Linked DNA regions of Arabidopsis thaliana. The protein of the gene in region 1 interacts with the protein of each later gene in a pairwise test. Each region holds a gene or a part of one and is shown on either strand. Other genes may lie near its edges.

Region 1 (7,922 bases):
TTCACCTCCTACAACAGTTGATTGGCTTGATGACTGGTCTACTGGTGGTGAATCTTACATTTATGATACAGATATTGACAGAGAAATCGTCCGCGATGAAGAATCACGTAAGAGGATGTCTCATCAATATGAATCAAGAAGTGGAATAGGATCAAAAGAGGAGAATAGTGAGCCAAGTACTAAACCTGAGGCCAAACCAGATCAGGATTGTGTGGTAGATGAAGACCTTATAACAGTTGATGATATGTCATTGTTAGATAGAAGAACCCAAAGTGAAGAGATTTTTGAGCAGACACCTTCTAGTTCCAGTGATGTGTCCAAGCCTACAAGTTCTGGGAGATTTGAAGGTATGTTGTTCCATACAAGTGCCTCATTGTCGTCTATAACAGAAGAACCTGAAACAATCTTGGATTCGATCGATGGCGTCAACTCGGAGATTATGAATAGTTTGACTGGAGAATTAACTGACCAGAGACCTCTGACTAGTCTTGATTTATCCATGGAGAATTTGATAGATGAAGAAGTTGCTGATATGCAACAAATAGAAAATGATGATCTTTGTGGATCTCCTAAGATTATTGATTTTGATATCATTGATCATCAGCAGACAGATCAAACGTCGGATAGCATTCAAGGAGAACATGAGGAAACTAAGAGCTTCTTGGATGCTTCTTTGGACACACCCTTTATAGAATCATTTGAGAGAGAGGTACAAGAAGAAGAAGAATCAAACTTAGACAAGTCTACTGAGGAAACAACAAAAGAAACAGAAAGTGATTTGAAGAGTTCTCCGGGACAAGTTTCTACAGAATTACTAGAAAGTGTGGTAAGGGAAGAGAATGGTCAGGAATTAGTCAAAAGTGCTGATGAGAAAGCAATGCTAGTAGAGGAAGAGAAGACTCATAATGTCTTGGAAGCATCTTCGAGCAATGCTCATACACAGTTGGTTGATTTAGACTATGGAAACGCAGAAAATTCTAGTGATGTGATACTTCTGCAAGTCCAAGATAGTCATAAGTCACCACTAGATGAGTCAGTTGATCAGGAGATCTCTAAGGAAGTAGAAAAAACAGAGTTATTAAAAGATTTTTGTGGTGAATCAACCCAAGAATACAAAAATAGAGGAAATGTTGAGGCCTGTGGAAACGCAGAAAATGCTAGTGATGTGTTACTTCTGCAAGTCCAAGATGGTAATAACTCACCACTAGATGAGTCAACTGATCAGGAGATTTCTAAGGAAGAAGAAAAAACAGAGGTATTGAAAGATTTTAATGATGAAACGCCCCAAGGATACAAAAATAGAGCCAATGTTGAGGAAGAATCAGTAGTTTTAGCTGACACTCAAAACTCACAAGATTCACAAACATGGACTCAACAGGTTTCACCTTCTATTCTAATCATCTTTGACATTTTAGACAAATCTGACTCCACCAATGATTCACTGAATATGTGATTATCCATAACCATTTACTAAGATAATAAATTTTACTAGCTTCTTCCTCTGTTGTTGGTTCTTGATTTGAAGTTTTAGTAATTGCTTTTGACACTTTTGTTTTTATTGAATAGTGTGGTATAGATTCTTCCCAAGGGATATCACCAAGAACATTGGAGATCACCCAGCAACTAGAGCAAGACGATGTTATTGCCTCTTCCTCAAACACCGTCTCTCAAGATATCAATAAAGATATTACCGCGGCAGTAGCCAATGACTTAGCTGCTAGTGAGAGGAATGATGAAGTGATTCTGAAACTTGATGAGCAAGTTGGAGAAGCTATGGAAAAGGAACTAGAGCTTAATTTAGAATCACTGCACCATAATATTGGTTTAGTCGGTAGAGAAGACGATGAAGAATCCAAGAAAGTAATAGAGGAAATGCAAAATGCGGAGATCCAAACAACAAAACACGAAAACAGAGTCTTAGGTTAGTCGTAATTCAAAAATGGAGAAGAAAGCATAGATGATCAGAAAAGTGTTTGATATTCCTATGTTATAACCAAATGCTTACTATTTTGCAGAAAATTAACACATTGATGATACTAACACACAGAATCATGATGACGAAAACAAGTAACGCTGCACATAAGGTACGGTACGCCACAAGGAAAATGTGTTAAGAATTCTTTTTGATCCATAACAGGTGAAACATTGTGTTGTATCATTATTTAATGGACTTTTTGTTTAATTATACAACTTGTAAAGGCAACTCATTCTTTTGTAATATACTGTATAGAGATGGATAAATCTTTTGAATATATACTCACAGAAGAACTACTAGCATTCATTTCTCTTCTTTTCTTCTTTGTTTTAATGTTAAGATTATATTAGCGAAACATATTACAACCTAAAGCTACCCATATCCATAAAAAACGAATCGAATCGAGAAAGTTTTTCGGCATACAACGGATAAGTAGTACAACAACGGCCCTAAGAGCTGCCGGCGTTAAAGGTGACTATTATATAACAAGATTACAATAAGTGTATAAATATTAAACCGTCTAACTAATAAGGAAAGAAATAAATTTAACTGTGTTTAACATTTTTGTCTTTCTTGGTAAGCATCTTCAAGTTAGTATATTTTCCCTTTTGGCAAACTAAATATTCCCAATTTAATTCTTCTTTCCTAAACTTTCATGATCATTTAAATGTTCATATCTCGTGATCTTTGACAACCTTCCATAAACACAAACCTAATCAAGCTCAATATATAAAATCTCGCATATATTAGCTTGATTCACCCTTATTCCGACAGAAGCTCCAAAAAATCGGTTTTGGTATAAAATCTCATTGAAACTTTTGCTTTGATATTCAAGTAAGGATACTATCTTTTCCATAAACAATTTCTACATTTGTTCATTAATTCTGCTCTGGCTCTAAGGTATTTCATGTTTCATTTGTTCTGTTGTGGGATTGATTTCGTTTTGAGGGTGTCGAGAATTAGCTAGCTCCTACTTCTCGGATTTTGACTATTGGCTTTGCGTTTTCTCATTTATTCGTGAGTGTAATTTTAAAATTCTTTCGCTCTATCCTATGGTTTGTGTGGGGATTGAGGCAGCATAGAAAAAACGCCTTTAATTTGGGTTGTTTTGATCATAATTTGAGTGTTTATAGACCAACTATTCACAAAACGCCTATAAACAAAGTATTTTACAAAACATATCAATTCAATTTATTTGTACTTTTGTTTTTGGGAAAAAGGTTTATATGTTTATATGTTTTTTTTTGTAATATATAACAATAACTCAGGTTACAAAGGATGGTTCCGAAAGTGGTCGACCTACAAAGGATAGCGAACGATAAGACAAGGATAACAACTTACAAGAAGAGGAAAGCTAGTCTTTACAAGAAGGCACAAGAGTTCTCAACTCTCTGCGGCGTCGAGACATGTCTCATCGTCTACGGTCCCACGAAGGCTACCGATGTGGTGATTTCCGAGCCAGAGATATGGCCGAAGGACGAGACCAAAGTCAGGGCCATCATACGCAAGTACAAAGACACAGTGTCGACCAGCTGCAGGAAAGAAACCAACGTGGAGACTTTCGTCAACGATGTAGGGAAAGGAAACGAGGTGGTGACTAAAAAGAGAGTGAAGCGTGAGAATAAGTATTCTAGTTGGGAGGAGAAGCTAGACAAGTGTTCACGAGAGCAACTACATGGGATTTTCTGTGCCGTGGATAGCAAGTTAAATGAAGCTGTAACGAGACAGGAGCGTAGTATGTTTAGGGTTAATCATCAAGCCATGGACACACCATTCCCGCAGAATTTAATGGACCAACAATTCATGCCACAGTATTTTCATGAGCAGCCACAGTTTCAAGGCTTCCCTAATAATTTCAATAATATGGGTTTCTCGTTGATTTCACCTCATGATGGTCAGATTCAAATGGACCCAAATCTCATGGAGAAGTGGACCGACTTGGCTTTGACTCAAAGCTTGATGATGTCAAAGGGAAACGATGGTACTCAATTCATGCAGAGGCAAGAACAACCATACTATAATCGTGAACAGGTTGTATCGAGGTCTGCAGGTTTCAATGTTAACCCGTTTATGGGATATCAAGTCCCGTTTAATATTCCTAATTGGAGATTATCGGGAAATCAAGTTGAAAATTGGGAGCTTTCAGGGAAGAAAACGATATGATTTGAATTACGGAGCTTTATTAGTTTTTAGGGTTTTATAGTTTTGTTTCTGTTGGGGTTTTTAATTTTTTTTTGTGTATGATGGCTTGACATGCAAAAGTCAAGTGTTTTTTTTTTGACATAACATCATCTTTTTACATTTTATACAAGTTTCGGTTATACGTAAAGTTTTCTTTAAACACTCAGAAAATAATGTACCACTTATTTTATTATATTATCCTTGGTTTTTATATGATCATCTCCCAAATTGTCCCAAAAAACAAAATCTATAAGAACTAGTTAAGATGAATTAATTAATCATTTTACTTTCCGTGTCGAGTTTTAATTGGGATGGTAAGACATTGACAACCCTAACCACTAGACTATAAATCTTGCAACTGAGTAATTTATTTTTGTAAAAGCTTTTTTAAAAGAAAATATCTTTTTTAATCTTTGTTGATTATTCAATTACTTGATAGCTTTTGTTCATTGTTTTAAAAGCTAATTAATAATTTGTACCTTTTTGTTGATTGAATTCCAAAATTCTTTGGTTATACCAAAAAAACAAAATACGTATAGTGTCTACTGTCCTACAGACTATCTATAGCGTGTCTAGAAAAAGGAAAAAATAAAAGAAAAAATTAAGGACTATAAAGTTTAATTAGTTGCACTGTTCTCAAACATTGTCCGTTGTTATAACTTCAAGTGGTTGTTGAAAGAATAGTTTGGTTGATTGAGACGAACAACGAATAATGCCATATTGTGATCTATACATTATTCAAACATTACACGACAAATATTGGATATTTAAGTTAGAGATGGCCAACTTTGTGTCTTTGAACCTTTTTCCCTGCAACTTGTATTACAAACATATTTTTTTAATTTTTTCCCTCAACAACTAACACTGCACAATATCGGATTTAATATTTTTTTTATGCATCATACTATATAATATGATAATGCTGATATGAATTAGACTATTGTTGTGTTTCTCAAAAGGGGTTATTCACAACCACCATTTGCATATTTGGCACTGTTTAGGATTTGTTTAAGCACTTCTTACATCTGCTAATTCGATCGGGTTTGTCTATCGTACACAACACATATGATGATGTTTTGTTAGGTTTAGTCTCGGTTTACGCTTCAAGCATGTTCATGAATCTTAAACCGCTGATGAACTTGTGTGTATTAGATGTGAAGCTGTGACAGCCCATTTCGTATCGGTGGTCCAGAAGTGAAGTGGATGAGTAGTTGGAGTTATGTTGTATATATGCGTATAACGTAAGCTGTTAAAGACGATATAATTTGGCTTCACTTGTATATCGTTTTAATTTGGCATCACCTATCTTTCATTTTGTCACACCACTTGTTAATTTGCAACTTGCAACCATTTGAAACTTAACTAACAATTTTACTCAAAGATAACTTAGGCACTGTCAAGAGACTTTTATTAACTATTTCAATTTGGAATTAAAACAATGGACGTTTATTATACAATTGCCAAATATGATTGTTTCGTCCATATGAAAAATTAAGAATTTAACTTACACTTTTTAATTAGAGAGATGGATCTTCATTAGCTATAGTTGAAACATTGTGTTTTGGGCGTCATAGCAAGAATCTGCATTGTTATACCCTCCAATCATAACCTGGCCGTATGAATGAACGCCACTAATAGCGTTTCCAATCGTTATATTGAAAGCGTCTGCCTGTGTTCCATTGTTGTCCGTTTGGTTCCAAGGAAACGCGGTTAGCCTTGAACGCTGATCTCCAACAACAATGGAGCTCTTATTGGTCTCCAAAGAAGCCTCCTCTTCGAGATTTACGGTGGTTATGTCGTGAATGCTTGCTCGTCTCTTGTCCTTGCCGCCGGAAAGTTGCCGGATGAAGTACTTTTGGGCGTGGCTAGCTACTTGTGTTGGCGTTCGCGTTATCACAAAGTTCCGAGATATGTTTCTCCAATCTCCTTTCCCATATTTCTTCAAACCCATTAGAAATAGCCTGAATTGTGACAAATATGGAATCAAATATATCTACATACAATCTTGACCCAAATAAATTGTTCTTTGTAGGTTTGATGCGTTATATATGTGATTAGGCAAGATTTTGCAGCTAAACAGTGTTGCATAAATCATACTACGATTATGCAATGCATTTGTTCAAACAAATTAGAAATAGCCCGATTGTGAGAAATATCTAATCTAAGATATTTTCATAAAGTTATATACAACCACAGTGTTATACATTTATACTATCAAATTGTCATTAACTAGTAATTTAAATATTGGATATTTTTCCAATCAATCATGTCACTGATTTATGTTTAACTATTTTACTACCTTGCATGATTAGTGACCAACATTTATGTCAATTTCACCACTGACTGAGCTGATTTTTAAGTAGATTTAAATTTCACCATTCCGGTATAAAACCATCTAATTCCGGTTTAATGTCAATTCCCAATAAACCGGAAAAGAACAGAGATTTTTTCTTTCTTTTTTGTGTAAAAGAAGAAACAGAGACTTACTTGTGTTCTTCCTCCGTCCAAGGAACGCCTTTCTTCCGCTCCAGCTCCGGCGATCTACCGGCCTGCGACCGTTTATTACAAACCTGATGACCCGGTTTAAACCCGTTACATCCGCCACCGCCGCCGGCCCAATCTAGAGTGAAAGGCGGCGAGGTGATGTAACCGGGGACCGGGATTAAACCGGCCTCGATGCTGCTGACATCAGCTTCCAAATCGTTATACTGTCTAATTACGTCACTCACTGTCTTCCCCGGAATCACCGCAGCCACCTTCTGCCACCGATCAGGAGTGTTGTCGTCGTAAACCGCCAAAGCATTCTCGAATGCCTTGTTCTCTGCCGCCGTCCACGTGGCACCTTCACCAGAAGCTGCGACGCCGCTCTTAGTTTCCTCCATGAGCCAGTTCCCACCTGACACGTGTGACGTCGACGGTCTCATAACCTCCATGTCCGAAAACTAAAACCTAGCTCTGTTTTTTTTACGGTAAGTAAGAACAAATCATGCCGACAAAGGTCAACGGATTTACGAATTTTGGGATCAATAAGATCCCAAAAATGATATTAATTTTTTTGGGTTTATTGATGGGAAGGAAGAGATAAGAGAATCAAAAGAAGAACACAAAAATCACTATCAAATGATACTTCATTTTTATTTTGGTTAGAGAAGAAATCATCGGAATTTCTCTGAAGCATTGCTTAGACCCACTTCAAGGAATCTATAAAAGTTTAAACCTTTTGAAAAAGAATTGAGTAAAATCTAGTGGAGATCTGGTAAGTGAGTCAAAAAGAGAGAATTTTTAGGGTAGCTCTGAGATTTTTGCAGAAGAAATAAAAAGAATCTATTGGTTTTCCAGATTTGGTGGAGCTAATAAGCAGCATGAGTGGTATTTAAGTATCAGAGACTCAGAGTTAAAAGAGATTTAAAGATCTGGGTGTGGATAATATTTCTCGGGAAAATAAACATATGGCTACAGAAAATGAAAAAAATGAAATTAATATTGAAGAAGCTACCTTGGAGCTTACCCAATTAGGAAAACTATAACGTGCAAGAAGAAGCAAATGAACCCATAAATGGAAAGAAAACTAAAATCAGAAACCAGATTATAAACTTCTCGAGTTAAAAAAAAAAGAGAGAAGTAGGCAGAGAAAGGAGGTGATGATTTGGGCTCTTATAGTTCTGTCCTTGATAAATTATTATTTTTGGTTGATGCTGTTTTTTCTTTTCTTCTTAAAATTTAAGATTTGATTCTCTTTTTTACTTCTTTCTATTTTTTTGTCACC
Region 2 (8,032 bases), on another chromosome or scaffold:
CCAGTTGAAGGTAAACACAAAGTAATGTGCTTGCCTTTTAGAAGAAGTTCTGATGTATGTCAAGTGTTAACATTAGGACCAGCTCAAGAATTCTCATGGATAACGGTAAAAACGTACCATAAGCATTGTTCTGACTATCAGAGTTCTGGTCGATGCATCAAGGGGGTTGTATATTATATAGCTCAAGTTTATCATACACATGCTTGGGTTTTAATGTGTTTTGATGTCAGATCTGAAAAATTCGACATGATAAAATTACATGCGGATATTTATAGGGAAATTCTCATAACTTATGAGGGGAGGATAGCTTGTGTTGAAAAACGTACCACGAAGGATGATTACATAGCATTGTGCATTTTGGAGGACGCAAAAAAAGACAAGTGGTCGAGTAAAGATATTCTTGCACCTTTTGGTCACTTTGATGAAAGATTAAGAACCTTTTTCCAACTAAAAGGTTGCACTCATGATGGTGAATTTATTTTCGTATCTTCCACGTTTCGAAAGATGGATTATATTTTATTTTTTGATCCGGTGAAAAAAACCTTTAGAAGATTCGAACTTAAAGAAATTGCAGACGACCAAGCTAGGGTCAATAATGGAGATCCATATGGACCTATATTTGCGTTCTGTGCTTTCTTGGATCACGTTGAGAGTCAAATGTCTTTGCAATAATTTTAATTTTTTTCTTTTTTGTTCTTCCTTTAGAATGATCATTTTTGCAAGTTTAATTATGATTTTTTTTTCTTATAAGTTCTCATCCCTTACTTTGATTCTATCACGTGTCATCTTCCTCCCTTGCCAATTCCCTACAGCATTTCACAAATTCAACATCAATCATTTAGTAGTAGTAACTCGATCCTTATCTTTCTAAAGACTTTTATTTATCTTTTTGGGCCCTATAAGTGAATTGCACCAAGATTACGCATATACCTGTTGGAACTTTTTTGACAAAACCTTTCCGGTGACTTTTCCGCCAAATTTCGACCAAACGGCTGAACGGAATTATCGGGACATTAGTGCATTGGAAAGCGGGTAAAGAGTACTACAAAATGGTATACTCATACGTCAAAAACGGAGTTGTATTGAATAAGAAATAAGGGTGTAAAGTGGGACACTTGGGCCAAACCTGATCGAACCGAACCGAACTAGGATGAGCCGGGCTGCGGGTTGTCGGGACGTCCCATCGTCGACTCAAGGGCTGTCGGGCTTGCGGACCGTCATGCTTGTGAGTTATTGGGCTTGCTGAGTTGAATCTTATGGAAATATTCTCAGAATAGTCTCAAAATATTCTTAGGATAGTCTCAAAATATGTCATGCATATCCTGAGAATATTCTCACAAAATCCTATTTTCCTCTACTATATAAAGAGACCCAGCCTCTCATTATTTCTCAAGCTCTCAAAGACAAAACACTCTAAATTCTAAAGTCTCTCCTCTCTCTTGCTTCTTAGAAGTAAGTTCTTAGTTTAAAAACATCATACTGCTTAACATAGATAATTATATAGGTTAAACAAAAGCTCGATAAACGCATCAATGGCATCAACTTCCGATTCGGGCTACATCTCTATGGGGCTCACTCTAAAGATCGCGAATCAAGATCTAAACCTCGACGATTTTAAAGAATCCACCATCTTCTCATCTTCTGATCAAGCTTTCTCTAGATTTACTCATCATTTTCGGAGGATACGTCATCAATCGACTTCCCTCTTGGAAAGAACTTTTAAAATTGGGAAGACTGTGAAAAAGGGGATCGAAACCCTAAATTTTTATTAATTTGGGCATTTTGTTATAACCTATAGAAATATGTATGTTTCTGAGAACATATAAATAACTGCGAGCTAAGTCGGTAAAGGAAAGTTGTTATATCTCACAGGTTGCGGGTTCAATTCCTCAACTTGTAAAAAAAAAAAGAAATTGAAACGACGTTGTTTTATAAGTTAACAGAATTTATAACCGAAGACTTAATTCTGTTAATTTCCCGTAATTTTGGCTCGTTTAAGTCTTAAATAATATCTTATGACAAAAAAAAGACTTAATTCTGTTATTTTTTTCGTCAGTTGACGTAACGTTTTACCCGAAATGGCAAAATCAACGAAAGTTATCTATTTAATTCTAAAGTCAACAATAACTTTGGTATTTAAGTGACATTTCGAAAATTCATGTTTTTTTGTTCTAAATTTGAAAGTTCACATTTTTTTGACATATTTTCCAAAATTATCACATATATTGTATATTATTTATATATAAAAAACATTTCATTACGAAAATCCGATTGAAAAGATAACAAGATGGAGGACACAACTTCCTTCAAACTAAAGCAACCAAAATTTATTCCTTAAACTTTTGGAAAGAAAAATAAACGGTAATTGATTTATATGATATAAATAATTATATATTTATATTTATTTTGACGATTGTTCTAAATAGTTCCAAGAAATCCTGGGCCGAAAGCCCGAAACTCATACATTCCTTTGCTCTGTCCAGACGAATACTCGGTCCTCATCATCTTATTCTTTGTATTCTTTGAGAGTATCGATGGAGAAGACAAATCCTCCATCTCTACATGTTTCCTCTTTAAACCTGCTTGATAGGCCTCGAGTTTCGCCTTGAAAGCAACTAAGTCCTCCAATTTCAGATCTACATTCTCTTTCATATTGGACTTTTCAAGGTTTCTTTGCTGTTTCTTCCTCAAATCCTAAAATTGACAAAAAAAATATTATATAATATAAAATAAATAATGATTATTTAATTCTGTGTATAATAGCAAACCCATCTTTGTAATCTATATGTTGAGAACGAAGAAGAAGGAAAACTAACGGATGAGATTATATTAATGATGGGAAACATACCTCCTGAAACTCTTTGATTTGTTCCAATTCTTTCATGAGACTCCTGAGTTTGGACGAAGCACTAGGATTTTGAATACGCTCAACCACATCGTTGAAGCATGGATAACCGTATGTGTATGGTATATTAGTGGGGGAGATGACCAAGACAGCAATCTCTACATTACACAACTTCGCGAGTTCATCAGCCTTCTTAAAAATGCCATTTCGGCGTCTTGAAAACGTCGCTTTCCTTTCGATGCTATCTTCAATAAATTTTATCTCTATTTTTCTACGACCCATTTCTTAGTTTTAGAGAGATGTTTTTGTTGTTGGTGTTGTTTTTGTTACTACTCTACTCCATTTTATAGATGGATTGGTTCAAGTAGGTTTAACGCATTAATTATAATTTTTTATCTTTGTTATCCTTTTTTTATTAAAATATTTGAATTTACCTTTTAAATATATTTATCTTTTAACTACTACCATAAATATCTTTATAACTCTGACTACACAAATTTATCATAATAGTCAAGAGTTGGTATTCCAAACAAATTCTTAAGATATATTTTCTGAAGAAAGTATAAATTTTGTAATGCTTATCTTTCATTAGAAAATATTTAGGAAAAATACAAATTTTGTAATAATTATAAATTAGATTTAGTATCTCTACATATCATTCCATATATACAAATTTTATTTTAAAATGCAAACTCACACGCGTCAAACATGCGCACTAGCCACGACATATCAATAAAATGAAAATAAAAAACTGATGAAACTTGGTAACAACTTTTTCTAAATTAAAAGGAGTTTTTTATTTTATTATTTCATGTTTTGTTTTCACTCACACGGATCCGACAATAATCACTTCTCCTAAATTCACCCATCAAAAGACATAGGTGTCAAAATCAATTCTTTTAAACATTTCTACATGCATCACCATATTTCATGAAACTAAAGTGTTACAATTCATCCCTCTAGCAGATCGTATCGTCCTGGTTGCGCATCAAGACCGTCACAATCGACTTTGTTAACCCTCTTAACTCCACATTCGTCTGGGTTTGGCTCTGATACCGTTTGTAACTCCCCGACCTCCATCTTTCTTAGTGACCCCACGTCCTCTCTCGGCTCACGGGCTCACTCTTACCCGATAGCCGATCCATTACGTTTACGAGGCTTTAAAGGCTTGTTTACCGATCCTACATATCACCACATTATATTTTCTCGTGTTTTATCCTCGCTCATATACAGTTGCGACAATCACTTCTTGGAAGGTCATTCCCTGTAATTTTTCTAACTTAAGCACGCTTAATTATGAAGTTCTTTTCAGATGTTTGACTGAAAATAAGTGCAATTTGATGATATAGGTGGTCAAATCAAATTTTTAAAACTTCTCTGCATGCACCACCATATTTTGTGAAACCAGGGTGTTACAAAAGGTCAAATAAATTGATGTGGATATCGAATTAGAAGATTCCTCATGTGATGCACAAGATGTGTTGGATGGACCCACATCCAACTAGAAGATTCCTCACCCGATACACCAGAGGTGTTGGATGGATCTGTGATTCGACCATGCAATCGAAAACCCTAAAACAAGTTCAGTGCAAATCTAGAGACCCTATTTAACTCCATGGAATTTTAGCTGGAGCACCAACTTTCCGTACTGAGCTGTTTTTCAGCCGAAGACCCATGAAAAATATCTACATTAATCAACTCGACAACGAAACGTTAGAGGATATATTCAAAAATACTTTACCGGCAACATCAGTTAGCAATCTACGACAAATGACATGGCGATCCGAGACCAATGGACTAAGGCTTCAAAAATCATCGAAAATTCATGCATTGTAAAGGGAATAGTCTAACCGAAATCATGCATTATCAAACTCGTTTTGGAGATGAACAACATGAGCATTATGACAACCTTACATGTAGCCGATAACATGTCTTTTATTGAGTTAAAGTGCGTTTCAAGATTTTCTTTAATCCTTTACAGGTTTTAGATTGATATGGAGGAAAAAACATTTTGGGATGCAAACACGCATTTGGAGATGTGAGATCATGTATAAGGGTTTGGAGTTTCGCGTCATGTGGAAGATTTTCCACCGTTATATCTTCCTCATATTGTGATACAAGCTAGGTGATGATCTTTGCTTTTATTTCCAAGTGATTTGAAGAAAATCTAACAGTGAAATAAGACGTTATGGCCAATCTACTTAAGACATGTCAATCAGATGAAACTGGTGTGGAAACTGATCCAGACAATCAGAGACCGATAGGTCTATATATACTTGGGACCGATCAGTCCACCTTCATTTTTGAGTCGACCCTAGTAGGTCAAAGGAAGATATAATAATAAGGTCCCTATGCAGCCAATGTATTGACCTTTTTCGTATCTAGATCAATAAAGTCCAACTTTCTTCTCAAGCTGTTTGCGAAAAATAGATCAAACCAATTTTATACATTTTCCACGGCCGCATTAATTAAACCGGACAATTCGGGAATGGCACGCAAACCAATTAATCAAACTCGATTCCGGTTATCTTCAATTCTCCTTCTTCTTCATCTTCGCGTCCGTGAAGAACAACAATTGAAAAAGCTCCATCTCCTCCAATGGCTACGAAAGCTCCAGAGAAAATCACCAAACCAAAAGACAGAGATTTCCTAAATCATCTCGAAACATATCTCTCCAAAAGAGATGGTGTAGACAAACTCCTGAAAATCTCTCGTTACGCAACAAAAATCATCCTCGCATCATCACTAATCCCAGAAACCAGATCCATAATCCCCCGACTCAAAAGCTTCGAATCAAGCGTCGGAGTCAGTCGCAAAGCCTTCCGTCTCGGAAAATTCGTACAAGACATCAACGCATTAAGATCCTCACGATGGGATTCAAATCACGAGCTCGTCTTACTCATAATCGCGTACGGTGGTGAAGGATTATACTATTTCGTTGAACAATTCATATGGTTAACGAAATCAGGACTGATCGATGCGAAACATTCGAAATGGCTTCAGAAGATTAGTGCTTGGGCTGAATTGGTTGGTTATGTAGGAAGTGTTTCGATTAAGATTAGGGATTTGAGGAAATTGAATGATGAAGAGAGTTGTGTTGCTTCGACGATCGAGATCTCGGTTTCGAGAGGATTAGCTTGTGATGGTGAAGATGAGAAGATGAAGATGATTAAGGAGAAGAAGACATTGAAGGTTTTATCTATTTTGCAGGATCTTGCTGATGGTTTGATGACGATTGCTGATATTCGTGATGGTAAGGGAGTGTTATCGGCTCCTAATGTGATATCTTCTGCAGGTTTGTTTTCTGCTATTGTTAGTACTCATAAGAACTGGATCTCTTGTTGATGATCATGATGATGATGTTCATCGTTCGTTTTTCGATTGAATTATAGTATTTGCTTATCGAATAAAGGTTTCGTTTTGATTCTTCGGTGGTTTGAACTAAGAGAGCTAGTTTAGATATAAACAGCGTTGATGCAATACATGATTTTGAAAATGAGAAAAGATTCAAATTTGGAAGCAATACAAACAGAAAGAAGATGAAGAATGGCTTATGAAAGCCTGTTAAAATCAAATGAAAAGCGATGGCGCGGGAAATCTGTTTTCGAACTCCATTACAAAGATAGAAGAAGGATAAATCGTGGTTTGTGTTGCTAACGAAACGAATGAGAGACCGCAATGGTTTTTGTTGGAATGTCTACCTTTCTTTCAAGGAGCTGCTGTTAGATTTTGAGCGTTTGAGTTGCCAAGGAGGTAAGCAGCCTCTGAGAGGTGATTGTAGGAACAATGATGATGTTGAAAGCTGTTTTTGTCTCATGGAGATGGATGATAAACAGCTGAATGAGCTTCTAAGACTTCTCTTTTCGTTTTCTTCCTCCGGGATTTGCCCGTCTGGATCGTGGCAGACCGCTGTTATCTTGAGGGACTCGGGAAGTATGCAGCTGCACACAGAACCTGCAGAAAAAAAAGTAAATTAGTCTTTCAAATAAGACTTCTTCAACAATTCTCAAATGCAACAAACATTTGTTACCTATTTGTGCAAGCCGATTCACCCATTTTGGGATCTTTTTCCCGGTAAGCTTGTAGCAAACGTCCTGGCAGAAATGGTTGCAGTTCTTAACAATCAAGTGATACATATTCCCGTAGTAACTGCAAGCCATGTCTTCCATAAACTCTCTCACTTGTGTTGGGTTTAAATTCGTGGTTCCAATGAATATCGATTTCTTGAACTTGAAGCCCGGGCATTGCCTTGGTTCAACCTCAAAAACACCACTCGTTGCATAATCATGGGCACCAAAAGCATACTCTACTCCATGAACTGTAAACGCCAAATGTTCAGAGTTAGCTATAGCAGTAACTATAAGTACACCAGAGATGCAAATCTTTGGATACTTCAACCATATGAACAAGAAAACACAAGCGAGCGCCTAAAGCTTACCTTCTACACCAGAGTGAAATATACCAAGGCCTGCCCAATAGATATATCCGTTAATAGGAGTCAAGTCATAAACATTGAGATACACTGGTGCACGGCCTGGACCATGGTTGTTTGACTTCAACTTCGAAAAGAAGCAAAACCGTGCAACTGATTTGCTTTTCAGATGAAGAGGACCAAGAGATTTCCAACGTTTCTTCGACACAACTTTCATCTTTTCCCCAAACCCTGACCGAAATTCTAGCAGCGACTCTGACCAACCTGCCGATGAAGAACCGAGCCACATAAGAAAAGTAGCAAACACATTATGATCTCTAATTAGTACATTAATCACACAAATGTCAAATCAAAACCTTACCTTTCTTCTGCTTAGGCTCTTCTTTTCCGTTCAACATTTGGATGCCTCAGTAGAGGTTATCCTGTATGTAAACATCATCAATCAATAAAAGATTCTGAAAGGTACAAAAGCAAAGACCTCTGTGCCACATTATGTTTTCATTGAACTTAAGAGACTGAAATGAAAAATTTTCCTATTTTATTTTATCTTATGCTAGTTGGCTGAAATACAACAACAGCTCATTTAAAAAGTCAGCACCAATCTCCATTGGCCGGCTTCAATCAGTTATATATACAAAAGCATAAAATATAATAGAGCATGCATCTTAGAATAAAGCAAGACAAGATTGGTCTCATTTTTTCCATCTTAATGATAAAAGACAAGACTGAGTCATCTAAACTGTGATTTTGTATCA

What was found. Proteins that work in one complex are often made in the same cells at the same time.
Region 2: the proteins of AGL82 (region 1) and AGL102 interact in a two-hybrid assay, tested with the Arabidopsis thaliana proteins (one large-scale study listed by BioGRID).

The regions. Positions count from the first base shown.
Region 1 is NC_003076.8:23,777,579-23,785,500, forward strand, and holds AGL82 (AGAMOUS-like 82), read left to right. Parts: upstream 1-3,253; coding exon 3,254-4,138; downstream 4,139-7,922. Other genes in the region: AT5G58880 (LRR protein), read left to right, coding at 1-1,378, 1,567-1,921, 2,016-2,023; AT5G58900 (Homeodomain-like transcriptional regulator), read right to left, coding at 5,697-6,117, 6,644-7,089. UniProt on the Arabidopsis thaliana protein: Probable transcription factor that may function in the maintenance of the proper function of the central cell in pollen tube attraction.
Region 2 is NC_003070.9:17,567,546-17,575,577, reverse strand, and holds AGL102 (AGAMOUS-like 102), read right to left. Parts: upstream 3,165-8,032; 5' UTR 3,128-3,164; coding exon 2,849-3,127; intron 2,695-2,848; coding exon 2,419-2,694; 3' UTR 2,205-2,418; downstream 1-2,204. Other genes in the region: AT1G47765 (F-box and associated interaction domains-containing protein), read left to right, coding at 1-672; PEX11A (peroxin 11A), read left to right, coding at 5,444-6,190; AT1G47740 (PPPDE putative thiol peptidase family protein), read right to left, coding at 6,543-6,799, 6,876-7,163, 7,284-7,541, 7,639-7,675.